Arabidopsis thaliana: one gene and its partner. The protein of the gene in region 1 purifies or fractionates together with the protein of each later gene. This does not show direct contact. Each region holds a gene or a part of one and is shown on either strand. Other genes may lie near its edges.

What was found. Proteins that work in one complex are often made in the same cells at the same time.
Region 2: the proteins of C2 (region 1) and PYR1 purify together in Arabidopsis thaliana (affinity purification with western blotting, with the first as the bait; one study listed by BioGRID). This does not show direct contact.

The regions. Positions count from the first base shown.
Region 1 is NC_003074.8:6,146,960-6,154,391, reverse strand, and holds C2 (Calcium-dependent lipid-binding (CaLB domain) family protein), read right to left. Parts: upstream 2,331-7,432; 5' UTR 2,121-2,330; intron 2,044-2,120; 5' UTR 1,976-2,043; coding exon 1,829-1,975; intron 1,745-1,828; coding exon 1,649-1,744; intron 1,568-1,648; coding exon 1,277-1,567; 3' UTR 578-1,276; downstream 1-577. Other genes in the region: TOC64-III (translocon at the outer membrane of chloroplasts 64-III), read right to left, coding at 2,598-2,677, 2,753-2,822, 2,924-2,975, 3,062-3,189, 3,291-3,491, 3,635-3,769, 3,874-4,042, 4,122-4,266 and 5 more; AT3G17950 (uncharacterized protein), read right to left, coding at 7,223-7,432. UniProt on the Arabidopsis thaliana protein: Mediates the transient calcium-dependent interaction of PYR/PYL/RCAR abscisic acid (ABA) receptors with the plasma membrane and thus regulates ABA sensitivity. Stimulates the GTPase/ATPase activities of YchF1, and regulates its subcellular localization.
Region 2 is NC_003075.7:9,924,702-9,931,560, forward strand, and holds PYR1 (Polyketide cyclase/dehydrase and lipid transport superfamily protein), read left to right. Parts: upstream 1-3,885; 5' UTR 3,886-4,090; coding exon 4,091-4,666; 3' UTR 4,667-5,174; downstream 5,175-6,859. Other genes in the region: AT4G17860 (carboxyl-terminal proteinase-like protein, putative (DUF239)), read right to left, coding at 1-368, 451-597, 712-765, 850-1,017, 1,130-1,309, 1,404-1,484, 1,568-1,636. UniProt on the Arabidopsis thaliana protein: Receptor for abscisic acid (ABA) required for ABA-mediated responses such as stomatal closure and germination inhibition. Inhibits the activity of group-A protein phosphatases type 2C (PP2Cs) when activated by ABA. Can be activated by both (-)-ABA and (+)-ABA.

The DNA.
Region 1 (7,432 bases):
GGTTTCAGATCTGAGAGCGAAAAGAGTGTGAGAGTGTGATGTTGCCTGCGCGCCCTTTTTTATAGGTGGAAAACGGTGGCGTTACCTTCGACTTCGGCCTTTTTTACAGACTGTAAAATCAAATCAGTCGGTAATTAAACAAATATCTCCATTTTTTTTGTTTTGGTCAAAACCGGTAATAATAATAAGCGTATTTTAGTTAATGTTGTGCTGTCACTCATTTTAAGTTATGGTTTATATATATTTTTAACTACATTTGCAATTGCATTTATATGCAATATATATGTTGACAGATTTTATTCTACAAATAAATCGTTGTTTTGGTAAAAAAATGTTGACTACTTTGGGGAGTTGGTGGAAGAGGAATCTCTAGATCGCTCATTGGGGAACGAGATTTGGGTCCCTTGGGATCTATCAAACTTTATACATAATTTAGAATATATCTCAATACTATCATACTACAGTCGAATCTTTTACTTTATTAAATAGAGAAAAATATCACATACTAGTACTACACTTCACTCTTGTCACGGTCGTTTGACACATTATTGTAAAGTCGCCGTGCCACTCATAGTAAAGGACAATTATGGCTCACGTGTTTTGTCGTTATAAAACCATGGTGCTTCACTCATTAGTGTACATCTGGATTCTCTTCACCTACCATCCCTTTTGTGGCTTCTGGCTTTTTCCCTTCGATATTTTATTCTTTCTTCATCATTATTCTTTATGACCTTAATTAGCGCTAATGTACAAGTAAATCTTGTTCACAAAAATTACATAAGTTGTGCTTCAGTAACGTACACATAAAACCTCCAATGTCAATGGTTTAAAAAAGGCCTATCGATGTCGATGGTAAATGGTAATATGCTGGTCTTTTTTTCACTTTTTACCTATAAACATTAGTACATCACATGTGTTAAAACAATCTACCATTCATAAGTATATGGAACGATAATTAAATAAATAAAATATCTGTATTAGTTGTTCGTGTAAATGCCTTATTTAAGGCATAGCTAGCCCAAATATACATACACATCAACAATACACCACATTTACATATCCACCACCACGACTCGACTTGGACTCGATCACCATATGGGAACAAAACTTCCCTCAACGTTCTTAATCCTTATATTTCCATGGATTAATACGTGTTTCTAGTTCACTATATCCTTCAAGATTGAAATTACTTGTTTTTTTCCATGCTGTTACTTGGTTTAGTTCAATTTGAAAGAAAACAACTCAAAGTAACGGTAAATAAGAAAAGAAAAAAGATTCATAGACCCTTGGAGCCAGGGAGGTCAATCCATTGAAGCTGAGCCTCGACCTCTCCGCATTCCACATGTCGCAATCTGAGAACGAGATCCTGGACGAGCTTGCCGTCGACCCAGGTGACACGTGACTCCTCGGCTAGACAGTTACGACGACTTGGCTTAACCGTGGTCACAATGGTTCCACTAGGAAGTCCATCGAGTTGCATCCTCAAAGCCTCAATATAGGGCTTTATCTCGAACTCAGCATCGCCCATCTTGTCGTCTTTGCTAAACATGTCGTGATCATACACCGTCTACATATAACATTATAGTTTTATCAATATAAACATCTTATGATAAGGAAATTAATGTATGTTTTAGTAAGTAAAAAGTACCAAGAGGACGGTAAGATTGGAGTCTGTGACGGAGAGAGTCAAATCTTCATTCCATTCTGGATTAACATCTTTGTTAATGACACGAGTCTTCAATTTCTGTAAGATTTAATATGATAATTTGAGAATGTTTTTGATGTAATGAAATTGCATGTGAAGTTGTAAAATGATGAATGGATTAACCTGTTTGCCCATCTTGACGACGACGTAAGGATCGCTGCTACTGATGTCACGGACGGCTAAATTGACGCCACGTTTGATACGGATTCTAAGGAGGCCCAAGAGATCGTCCATTAGTGAGCTTGTCCTCGCCGGACACGCCGTTGTCATTTCCTTTATTAATGTTCCTGATTATTTCTTCCTTACTCACTTTCTACAACCCTTTTTTTTTGTTAACGCTGCAACCAACACACGTTTAATTCTCGGGGAAAAGCACAACCGAGATAAAGAAAAAAGGTTAAACGAACCAACTCACCCGTGAAGATAATTCAAAGGTCTCTTTAGTTTCTTTCGTCAGATTTCGTTCCGTTCAAACTATCATCGCTAAATATTAGGGCAGGTCTCTTTGGTTTCTACTCCTCTTTTTTTCTGTTTATTTTTTTTGAGTCGTGGGGAGGAGATAACGTGCGAGAAAAGAAAATGATAAAGACAAGATAGTTAAAGACATGACCTTATTTTTGACGCTACGCTGACTAGAAGTCGACCGGGAATGCCGGTATCCGGTGTTTAAGATTAACATTACTTTTTGATATCCAATTTTAGAGAACGTTTAAAATAAACATCGGATATTATAATTTTCCATTCTCGGCGGACTTGCAAAAGGTATCTCTAGATAAAATGCCTAAATATCAGACGCAAAAGACAAGTGTTGACAAAATTGGCCTATACTCTTGGACAAATTCTAAGGAACAAACGTTTTCTCAATGATCGGTGAGGTACGGACAAAAGAAGCTCACTGGAATTTTCTCAGTCTCTCTGCTGAGAGAGACGCTCGTTTGTTGTTTGGTTCCAGCACAAGTGCGTATCTGAAATCTGCAGAGTTTATGTTATATTCTGCCAGATTCTACAAGGCGAAAAAACAATCAGATTATGTTCTTTAAAGCTTACCTTCTATGGCTCCCTTGCAATCGCCTAACATTTCTCTTGCGGTTCCTCTTCGTAAATAGGCTTTAACATTCTGAAAGAAATCAAAAACGATCTTTGTGTTGTGTGTTCTTACAAAGTAAAGAGTGTTTTTTTTTCAAGAGAAACCTGTTTCTGTGTTTTAATGAAAGTTACCTTCTTGTCGAGGGTGATGGCTTTGGTACAGTCTTCTTCGGCTTGAAGAAAGCTGTATGTAAATGATTTGTCAAGGCAATGCCACATAGAAAGATTTGCTCACTAAAAAGTATTTTTAAGGATCTGAGAAACATTTACCCTCCAAGTTCAAGATATGCAGCAGCTCTGTTACTGTAATAGGTAGCATTGTTGTCACTTAGCTTTATAGCTTCTGAGTATAGACCAATAGCTTTCTGCCATAGTTTCTCTTTGAACGCTTGGTTACCCTGGTTTACATAATCACGGGACACAAAGATATAATAACCACATTAGATTATGGATGATAATGCCATTAAGAAAATGAGACATGCAATGGATATTAATTGACCTTCTCTTTGGCAATCTCGGCTGACTCTTCTTTGGTGATAGCCTTTTTAGAAGATTTGGGATCGGTAACAATACTCGAGTACTCTTGCAAAGATGGATACATTGTCTGCACTGTATCTAGTAAAAAGCGGTCACCACCGTGTCTTCCTATGAAAGAAACTGAAATAGGGCATTTCTCATGATGTCCGAGTGGCACAGTCACCTGAATCATCAGCACGATAAATGTAAGACACATATACTGTGGATTGGTTTTGCTAACACTGACTGGTCAGTGGTTGCTTTTAACATGTGTGAGGGGAACTTTACTAGCATGGCAGGTGAGAGAGAGAAAGAGAGAGATTTAACCTGACAACATCCTGATATGCTAGCAATGCTAAGCAGACTTGAAGCTCGGTTTTGATAGTCTTCAGATGTTATCTCCTTGCTACCAAGTTTTGGAGGAACAGCTGGCAATGTTGGAATTACCAGAATGCCATCATCCTTGATACATAACGTTACAGAGTTGGGAACCATTAGAGATTAGTCAAGAGACATATAAACTAACTCGCTCAAGTTGTGGACATGTCATGGAAGAGCAGGAATACCTTGAGAAGTGAACCAATAGCCACTCGAGTCTCGTTTCTGATAGCATTCAGGTTCTCAGTCTCTTCATTGGTTAGTTCTGGGTTCTCACACACTTGTGATAAAATCACAGGATCAATGGCTGGCTTCACTGTGTTGATCCAATCCCCATGATTTTGAAGGAACTCGTGCCTACAATGCCAATATTGTTATAGAGTGTTCAAAACTAAGATATTTTCATCCTCTGTAGGTGAATAAACAATAGGCACACCTTTGAAGGAGCTGCATCACATTCGCCAGTAGTCTCGATGTTGAGACCTTCGTGTTAGCAATGGCTTTTGTCCTAGCGAACTCTTTCAAGCTAGGAACTTTAGTTTCAAAATAGGTCTCCAAGTTCTGATGCTTTAGCAATTGTCCTAAATATAAAACAAGATAATGCTATTATAATCAGAATTTCTAACAGAGACTGGAGGATCTTCAGGGAGAGTAAAGGGCATACTTCCAAAAAGCTTTTCAGCTGATTTGGTCACCACCTGGGTAATCCGATCCACAGGGATCTTTAACAGCTGAAAACAGTCATCAGCTAGTATGATTTGCCTTGGATTCCGTTGAGTGGCAAATGGAAGTTGCAAGAGTACATGGCCAACACGACGTAGGGTGTTTGGATCGCGGGCAAACCATCCTGAAGCCAAAATCTATTGATCAGAATCAACGTAATGCTCATTTAATGGTCCTAAATATAAATTAGTCATACGAACAAAGGCATCTAAATCTTGCAATGTGATTATACAACAATTGAAACCTAGCCTATATAAGATCCAAATCATTCCACCACAAACAGTATAATTCAAAGATTTATATATCCATACCAACAGAGTCAAGACTTGAAGATACTGGTATGATTCCGGTGTTTGAAATAGCCCCATAAGAAGATTTGAATCCAAGAACGCCACAGTATCCAGCAGGCACTCTTACCCCGCCAACTGTGTCGATGCCTGCAAAGATGCAAGTAATCAAAACTATACTCTGAAAACAATTGAAACCGAACCAACCAGTAGACAGTTGAAATTTTAGATACTGATAGGAGGAGCCAATGACAGACTACCATATAAATTATAAATCCGCATGGAACTATCTTACCATATAGCCATAAGAGTCTAAATCAAGCAATTCTATTAGATGCCAAATAAGTTTCTGCAATATAAATAAATTATCAATCGTTTCAGAAATTTTCTAAGGAAGATTATTGACCATGTTTTGAAAGTTTATGCAATGTTTTGTTTCTCAAAGATACGGTTATCTCATACCAAATTGTCCAAACAAGGAAAAAAGTAGCTACTGAACTCACCTAGAGCAAAATCCACAGCATTTGTTGCTACGGCTACAGCAGCTCCACTGCAAGCGCCACCAGGAATACGAGTAGGAGCTGCAGGATTTGTAGGTGAATCGTAATGCTTGTTTTCTCCACTAATACTGAAGAAAATGAAAACAGCCAAACAAAGGAATTAATATACTAACATCCTGATAAAATAAAAATTTCAACACTGGAATCACAATCTGAATCCTGATACAGGTAACAATTTAACATTATGAAACAGAGACAAACCTAAACGCAAACTCATCAACTACAGTTTTTCCAACACAAGTGGCTCCACCTTCAACGAGAGTTGAAACCACAGGAGATGTTGACGAAGCAGCTTCATGGGTCCTGACCCAGTCTGGATGACCAAATCCAGTCACATACCCTGTAATATCGAATCTGGAAAACAAATGAAAAGGAAAGAAAGAGTAAATTAGCTTTTCAAGAACTTCAAAAGTCAAAAGATCATAGAAGAGAATGAGAGATATACACAGATTAGATAAATAGTCAATCAACATGTTGAGACAGTTATAAGTAGGACTCCATGAATAAGTCGAGGTCAAACTTGGTGACGAATCTAAAACATACAAACACCTAGCAACAGAGATCAAACAGTAGAGCCTTCCAATGAACAGATTCAACAAGTATCGATTTGAAATGAGTTTGACAAAACTAGCAGACACACACACACACACACACACATTTGAATCTACAACAAACACAATTTTCAGTGAAACGGCTCAAAATCAATCAACCATACTTTCGAAAGCTCAGAATCAGACATGTAGTGCGCCGGAGAAGATTACGAGTCGAGTCAACGCAGATTCCAACATTTGTCAAACAAAATTTTGACTCTACCCAAGGAAAAAATCATTCAGCTAAACCCCCAAATATAGATATGATAAACATATGGGAGAAGAAAGGGGGAAACAAGTCAACGGAGACTCACACGTCGGAAACGGCAAAGGTTAGACCGGTGAGAGGATGAGGAGCTTTGGGAGGAGCAGGTTGCGGAGGGGGAAGAAGCATGAGTTTATCGATAAAAGCGCCGAAATCTTCACGGACGGTCTTCTTCAGCTTTTTGGTAAGCATAAGAATCCCAGCGAGACCTAAACCTAGAAGAACCCAGAGATTCGCAGCTTGAGACGCCATCGGTGACGTTTTTGTTCTAGCTGCTGCTGCTGCTGCTTAAGATAAGAGAGATAGACCCTAAGGAGAAGGACGCCAAAGAGTTTTTGTTTAGTGTGTTGCGTTCCCTTTGAGTTTTTATTCTTTTTCCTTCTTCCTTTTTTTAACATCACTCGAGGGTTTATTTTATTTTCGTTTTGTCAACAGTTTTTTATTCACGTTGTAAAACAAAAAATTAATTTTATTAATTGTTTCTTGTTTTTACAGTTTATTTTATTAATTCAATTGGTATAAAATATGGATACACATAACAAACATTTTGCCGTATTTTCGGTTTCTTGTGTGTGTCCACTTGTTCGATAATTTTGCTTCGTCGTTAGGAATCTTCTCCTCTTATGTTATGAGGATGATTTGTGGTTAATTGTTTTACTTTCAGAAATACTAGTGGAAAATTAACCACGAATGTGGCACACTCCTGGCCAGAATCATATTGTGTTTGCCTCAAAATCTGATTTGGTCAAATTATTGTCCAAAGACTGACTAGTATAAAGACGTATTGATGAAATAATTTGAAGCAAAAACTCAATATGATAGAACAACGTTTAGCATTTTAAATAAAAACTCTAATCAAGTGAACAACTCCATTTTACACCAAAAGCTGTGCATGTGTGCCATTCTATATGCTTATCTTTTACTATTGCCATTGTAATTAATCTCCTTCATAATTCTCCTTATCAATCATTATTATTTCTCAAATAATTACTTTGACAATGACTACATTCAACATGTTATATTTTCCACAAACAATGATTCCGATTCGACGAACAAAATACAAAAATTTAAGTCTAAATACAAATAAAAGACACACACATGAACCGACGTATTCATCCTCCACCACCGCTGCATATACCGGTTAAAGATACCGGAAATCTACAAAGGGACGTGGCTACCGGCGTTCCTTCTCCGGTAACCACTTCAGCTGAAGCCGGAGGAAGAACCCTTCCGTCAGCGAACAATGCCCGCTCCCCCATCACCGGCTGCTGATCTTGGTACCGTGCCACCACCGCATCCTCTAGCTCTGCCTCGGCGGAGTT
Region 2 (6,859 bases), on another chromosome or scaffold:
ATACCACATTGTCCACCAGGTCCACCGAAGGTTAGCATCTCTCCACTTCGTATTTCAAACTCGCGATACCATACATCGTAACACTTTGGACTATCCACATATTCCTCAAACTCGTTCGAATCAATATCTACTAGTCTTTTATCCTCAAAATACTTAAGTTGTTTCATGAAACATGCAAACTTGTTTCGATATCCTACTTGTCTCGGAAAAGTTCCTGCCCCCATAGGAGGGCTGATAGCTCCAGCTAACCCCCCTGTATATCCGCCGAAGAAAACTTGTGATACTCCTTGCATCGAAAAAATTTGATAGGGCCAATAGCCTATCAAGGTTTTTCTCGTCATCAATAACCAGTTTTTTGTTCTGGAATCCTGTATGATTGGTGTACATATATAAGTTCTATATATAACCTACTAAATATTTAAATATATTTTGTTACTATATGTTTTTTACCTGACCGACGAGAAGATGAGCAGTGGACTGTCTTTTGCCTAAGACACTAATTTTATTGTAAGCCATACCGGGGTAGATTGTCTTATGGACTTGGACATATCCTCCTCGACATAACACATTGTAGCATCCGTTTTGGTGTCGATTTGACTGTAATATATAAATAATAAGTACTTATTTGATAACTAGCACATCAAAAACGAAAGATATTAAAAGTCATTAAGCTTGACATTTGAATTGAAATATAAAGTAAAGATCACTTACTATCCAGTATGTTGTTAACCTTGGGCGATCATCTCGGTACAATCCTATATGCACCTAAAAGAAGATCAATTGTGCGATAAGTTCTTAATTCGGCATATGATGATTCTTATGGACAGCTAGGTTTTGTAGTATACTTACTGCCCAACCAAATTGGATGCTGCTTATTACATCTTTTTCTCTGTGATTTAGCCAAATCCAAGCTTTACTAAATTGATTTCTCAATACTCGTGGTTTGTAAATATTGAAAACCGCTTGCGCTCCACCCCATATCTTTGTGTAATTCTCAAATGGTCTAATAATTGCATACTAACCAAAAATAATTTATCATGTTAGTAAATTATATATAAAAAGTCGCAAAAACAAATTCTATAACTATTTTTAAAATACTGTAGTTTAACATCGTGGTTAAAATACTTACATGTAGATTGGCTTCTGTAATTATTCTATTCGGTTGGACAAAGTCATTAGTATAGTTAATTTGCGGTATGTGAATTGGTACTTGTCCTTTAGGACACCTTTCTTCTGCTTTACCAGTGAATAAATCTGATGTTTCCGGCTCCGTCGATACCGTGGTTTGAAAATCGACACTTGGTCTCATCTAGGATAGAGACAAATAAGCACTTGATAAATAATTTTGATATGAAATTGTGTATAGATAAACTCATCTTTCTAATGATCATGAACCCACATACCTGGATTTGGTGATCTTTCATCAATGGATGTTGAAATGCAGGTTGCTTATAGATATCCACACATTCGTATTCTATTTCTTTCTGCGATAAACATTAGATATATGAGTCAAATTACATGCAAATAATGTATTAACTGAATATCGAAATTTTGTTTCTTTTGCTACCTGAACTGTTTGAGCAATGTGATAAGAACAAAGATATATGAAGATGTATAATAAACAGTACGAAGCCATAGATTATTGTTTTGATCGATCTTAATCTGCTTTCCAAAACTAACATAGTGTAGTATATTGTATATATAATCTTGACAAATTACTAAAGAAATCCAAACTCTTAACGTTATCTGGTCTTAAGTCAGCGTCACTGAATTATATTAAAGTGATTATACCAAAAGAGACATGATTGCCAACAGAAAGTCAAGTTTCTGATGATTTTGTTCCTAATTTGCAATGATATTTCGTACTTAGCTTCTATAGCTTATAATAATCGCTAATTGTTGCAATTTAATATCCTATCTCCAAAAAATGCATGACTCACACAAATCAAAATAAAACGTAATATATATAGTTATTATACATGTTTTCCAAACGTTATTTTTAACATTTTAGTTTAAATGTATTAGTATTTAGTATATACGCATTGATTTAGATACTAATGGAGATACTATTACATTTTAATATTAATATTTTACCTTTTATTTTTTTTGTTAATAAAAAATAAAACTGCATACTAATATATTTTTATAACATGAAACAGCATAGAATTTTTTTAATTAAAATTCATCAATGGGTCTCCCAAGAAATGGGCAAAGCATTGGGCTCCTACACATGGCAAACAATTCCAAAAAGGAGATAAAAACAAAAAATGAAGCCTTCACCAAATGGGAGGATCAGATCTTGTTGAAGACCACTAGCAATGATTCGAAGCAATAATACCAGCAAATACATGACCTACGGCGTTGCGGCAGTGGCACTGAACCGGAACCATCGACGGAAGTATTCGGTTCACATCTCCGCTCCCTTTCCGACGACCCACCATACCCGCAACAAGTCTCACACAATGTTTAAGCTCAATTTCCGACAAAATTGTTAGTATACATATACTTATAGACCAAGTGGATTGGATATCGTTAGTTAGTCACATTCTTTTCTTTATGATTAAGCCAAACGCAAGCTTGACTAAACTAATCATTCTCTACTTTTACTAAACACAGCTTGCGCTCCAGCCCCCACCCATTTGTTGAGTTCAAACTCGAAATCTTTCTTGTCTTCCCTACATAATGTATATATCATGTAAATTTGTTACCAATTCTTTGATTCTTTCAGTAATCAACAAGTGCTTATAAACTCAATAACAAGGTGTTTGCGTAATAAATATATTAAAAATAATTTTACTACTTTTAACTTCAAAATTAAAATGGCATCCTTATGAAGGGCTCTTCCTTGTCAAACTTGTTCATGCCTTTTTCTTATCAATCTGTTCTCGGAGCATTTTCTCTGCGAGTTTTCTCTTTGAAGTCTCTTCCCTACCACCTTGCTAAAAGATTCCTCTCCACTTGTTTGTTCCTAGTAAATCTTGTACTGTATAATAAGGTCTCTCTCGGATGTCCTCTTCCACCGTTTCTCTCCCAAAATTTTCTCCCTACAACTTTTTTTTAAGAACAAGTGTGAATCAAGTCCAAAAAAGTTGATCTTTATATCATCTTTTTAAAAACTCCTCTTAAAATGTTATTTATTTAATGTTTATTAAATATAATATATTTCTCTTTTTTATTTTTTTAATTTTATTTTTGAATAACAGGAGGTTCTGGACCGAAGTCCGTAATCCCTCTAGACCCGAAACCACATAATGTAATATTAGTTTCGTCTCAAGCGTCACTCGAACTGGCGACCTCTAAGGTTCGCCTAAAATCTTTACCAATTGAGCTAACGACACTTAATTTATTTTTTTAATAATCACAACTCCTTTGCATATATATTTATTTTTAGTTATAAAAAAATCTTTTTATTTTATTGTTAAAGAAAAATAATTTTATTGTTGCAAATTGTAGATTTGTCAAAGATTCATTAGATTTGTCACTAAATATAATACCCAACCAAAATGATATCTAAAAGAATTAATGAAACGTGAGTATATTTGTTTTCAACGACTAAAGAAACATATAAACAAAACTTATAAAAATATGAAATTGTTTTTGATAATTTCAAATGACAAAATAAAAAACTACAAACAATTTTCATCTCTAAGATTTCATTTTTTTCACCAAATAAAACCTACGAATATGAGTTCTTAAACAATAAAATAAAATCACCACACTCTTTAAAAAAAAAGAAACTTATACGAAAATAAGACTTATTCTCTTGAATAAGTAACAAATCCAATAGTTTATAACAGAAACTCCAGGTCATCTTTCTTTAAATATAAACAGATTCCATTTTTTGCATTATACACCCTTCCACTCTCACGTATATATATTTCTTACTTTACCCTTACTATTTAATATAATTCCATGTTTACCCTTCATCTTCCCTCTAAAATCCAACACAGAGAGATTTCAACGCTAAATAAAGAGAGAGAGAGTCTAAAAGCTCGTCGTCGTCTTCAATGGTGAATCTCAAACCAATTGGATAAATAAAACAAAACAAAAAAAACTTCACAAAAAAAAAAAAAAGATCCAAATTACAACCATGCCTTCGGAGTTAACACCAGAAGAACGATCGGAACTAAAAAACTCAATCGCCGAGTTCCACACATACCAACTCGATCCAGGAAGCTGTTCATCACTCCACGCGCAACGAATCCACGCGCCTCCGGAACTCGTCTGGTCAATCGTACGACGATTCGACAAACCACAAACATACAAACACTTCATCAAATCCTGCTCCGTCGAACAAAACTTCGAGATGCGCGTCGGATGCACGCGCGACGTGATCGTCATCAGTGGATTACCGGCGAACACATCAACGGAAAGACTCGATATACTCGACGACGAACGGAGAGTTACCGGATTCAGTATCATCGGAGGCGAACATAGGCTGACGAATTACAAATCCGTTACGACGGTGCATCGGTTCGAGAAAGAGAATCGGATCTGGACGGTGGTTTTGGAATCTTACGTCGTTGATATGCCGGAAGGTAACTCGGAGGATGATACTCGTATGTTTGCTGATACGGTTGTGAAGCTTAATTTGCAGAAACTCGCGACGGTTGCTGAAGCTATGGCTCGTAACTCCGGTGACGGAAGTGGTTCTCAGGTGACGTGAAAATGAAGAAAAAAATATGATTTAATTTCTTTTATTAAAAACAAAATCCAGAAATGTTATTTATGTTGCTTCGTATAAGATTCTCTTCTTCTTTTGTCTGTTTTTGCTTTTTTAACCTCATATAGTCATATTTTTACCATTTTCTTATGATGAGAATGACGTGCAAGGTTATTTTGGGCATTTTATGTTTGTGGATAACTATGAATCTTTCCATTTTCGTTAGGTATATTCCGGCGAGTAAGTCAAAATTTTCGGCTATGCAACAAACTCTCATAAAAAGTTACAAAAAAACTTACTATAAAGTTACCAAAGGTTTATTTGACACAAAAAAAAAAAAAGTAAATAACCATTCGTGTAAGGTTTTACTTTTCTTTGAATGTAAAAAAAAAGAAAGGTTTTCCTTTTCTTTTCCTTTTGTTAAAAAAACATGGGGATAAGATTTTTTTCACGTGTTTTTTGCTGTTATTGCTTTAAGTATGGTAGATTTAGTGTGTGATTCGTATGAAATTGTAATTACTTTTCATAGATTTCGCTTTTTTATCGATTACTTTTACATAATGTCCATGAACAAAACTTTAGTTTTTTTTCCCATGAACAAACTTTGTAACATATCGGTTGCCAAAAAAAAAAAAAACTTTGTAACACATGAACTCCCGATTTATTAACCAAACAACAACTTTTTTAAGAGTGGTAAAACGATAAAACAAATTGTGAAGGAAGAGATAGAGAAGACTAAAAAAACCATAAGTGGAAGTGTTTTAAGTTTTAACGAAGATGGTTTTAAAAGTGTGTGCCGTTTTTCATTCAGATTCGGGTTACCTTTTGCACTATAGTCAGGCTAGTGTCCCACTTGACTTGAATATATCACCATCATGTTTTATATAATTTATTGTTACAAAATTTGATGTGGGGAATCCATTATATGATACTATAACAATTTGTATATTTTATTATCGAATTTCAGCTGGATCGAGACAATAGCGAAAGGCCACTTTTATATTTTGTATAGTACTATTTTTAATTTCCTATTTGCAAACTTAAGACGAAGATCTTCTAATTAAGGCAAAGGTGATGATGATGTTGGTGCAAGTTGTGCCAGCTTGGTTAAATGTTGCAAGTTGCCAACTTGGTTATTAAACGCCGACACAAAGGTAGATTGAAAAATTAGTAGTATTATATTTGCGCAAAAAGTGGAAAATGAAGGAATACTACTAATTGCATGTACTTGAAGTCTTGAAGTTGATGATGGATGGTTGAGCCAATTAGAAGATCGATATTTTGAGCATCCTCACCTACTTTAATCATTATCATCGTTAACGTCAAATCTTTCTTTCATTTTTTTAGTTACGACAACGAGATCTAAATCTGAATAATATTTATATATCAAATTATACGTTGAAATTATCATGTTATGGAAAGTCTAATGGTTTATTAAATTATCAGATAATTAATTAGCAAAGTAGGTATATCGAATTAGACTTTTCCCTAGAGACAATGTGCCAAATACCTAATATATATTTAGGTGGTAGAAATGTATAATATCAAATATTGGGATAATCAAAAAATTTAGTCGAAATGACGATTGTTGTAAATAACAATAGCATGATACAATTATATAACTAAGTATTTTTACTCATCTAGTTATGAATGAAAGATTCAATAAATGTTGTTGTATGTACGGAAGACTCAATAGCGGTCACAGCTCTCTTGGCAAAGACAACAAACCACTCCTCGCTCGAGTCTTCAAAGTCATCTTCATCGCAAAACGATGATAGCAATGACTAAAGAGAAGAATTAGAGAGCAGTCTAGTAGATGGACAGTGATTCCTTACGAAATGTAGTGCATACATTTGAAACTGCTAAGGAGTAGATTATAGCCTATAATAATTTAGAAATTTCTAAAACCTTTTGACGCTCAATTAGGGTTGGACACGTTAGATGTTGCGTAATGTCCTAATTACGTTTTGTGTTAAAAAGTGTTTTTTTTTTCTGTGTGATATCCTTTTGTAGATTTTGATAAATGATGTCTCGACTTATATTTATAAGAAAGATCTCACCAAGGTTTAGATACCGAGTATTTAACTTATGGTGTTTGGCGTATTCACATGTTGGCTATTCGCATGAATAATGCGTACTGCGTAGTATGTTTTTTTTTTATAAAGTACTACTGCGTAGTATGTATGTTATGTATGA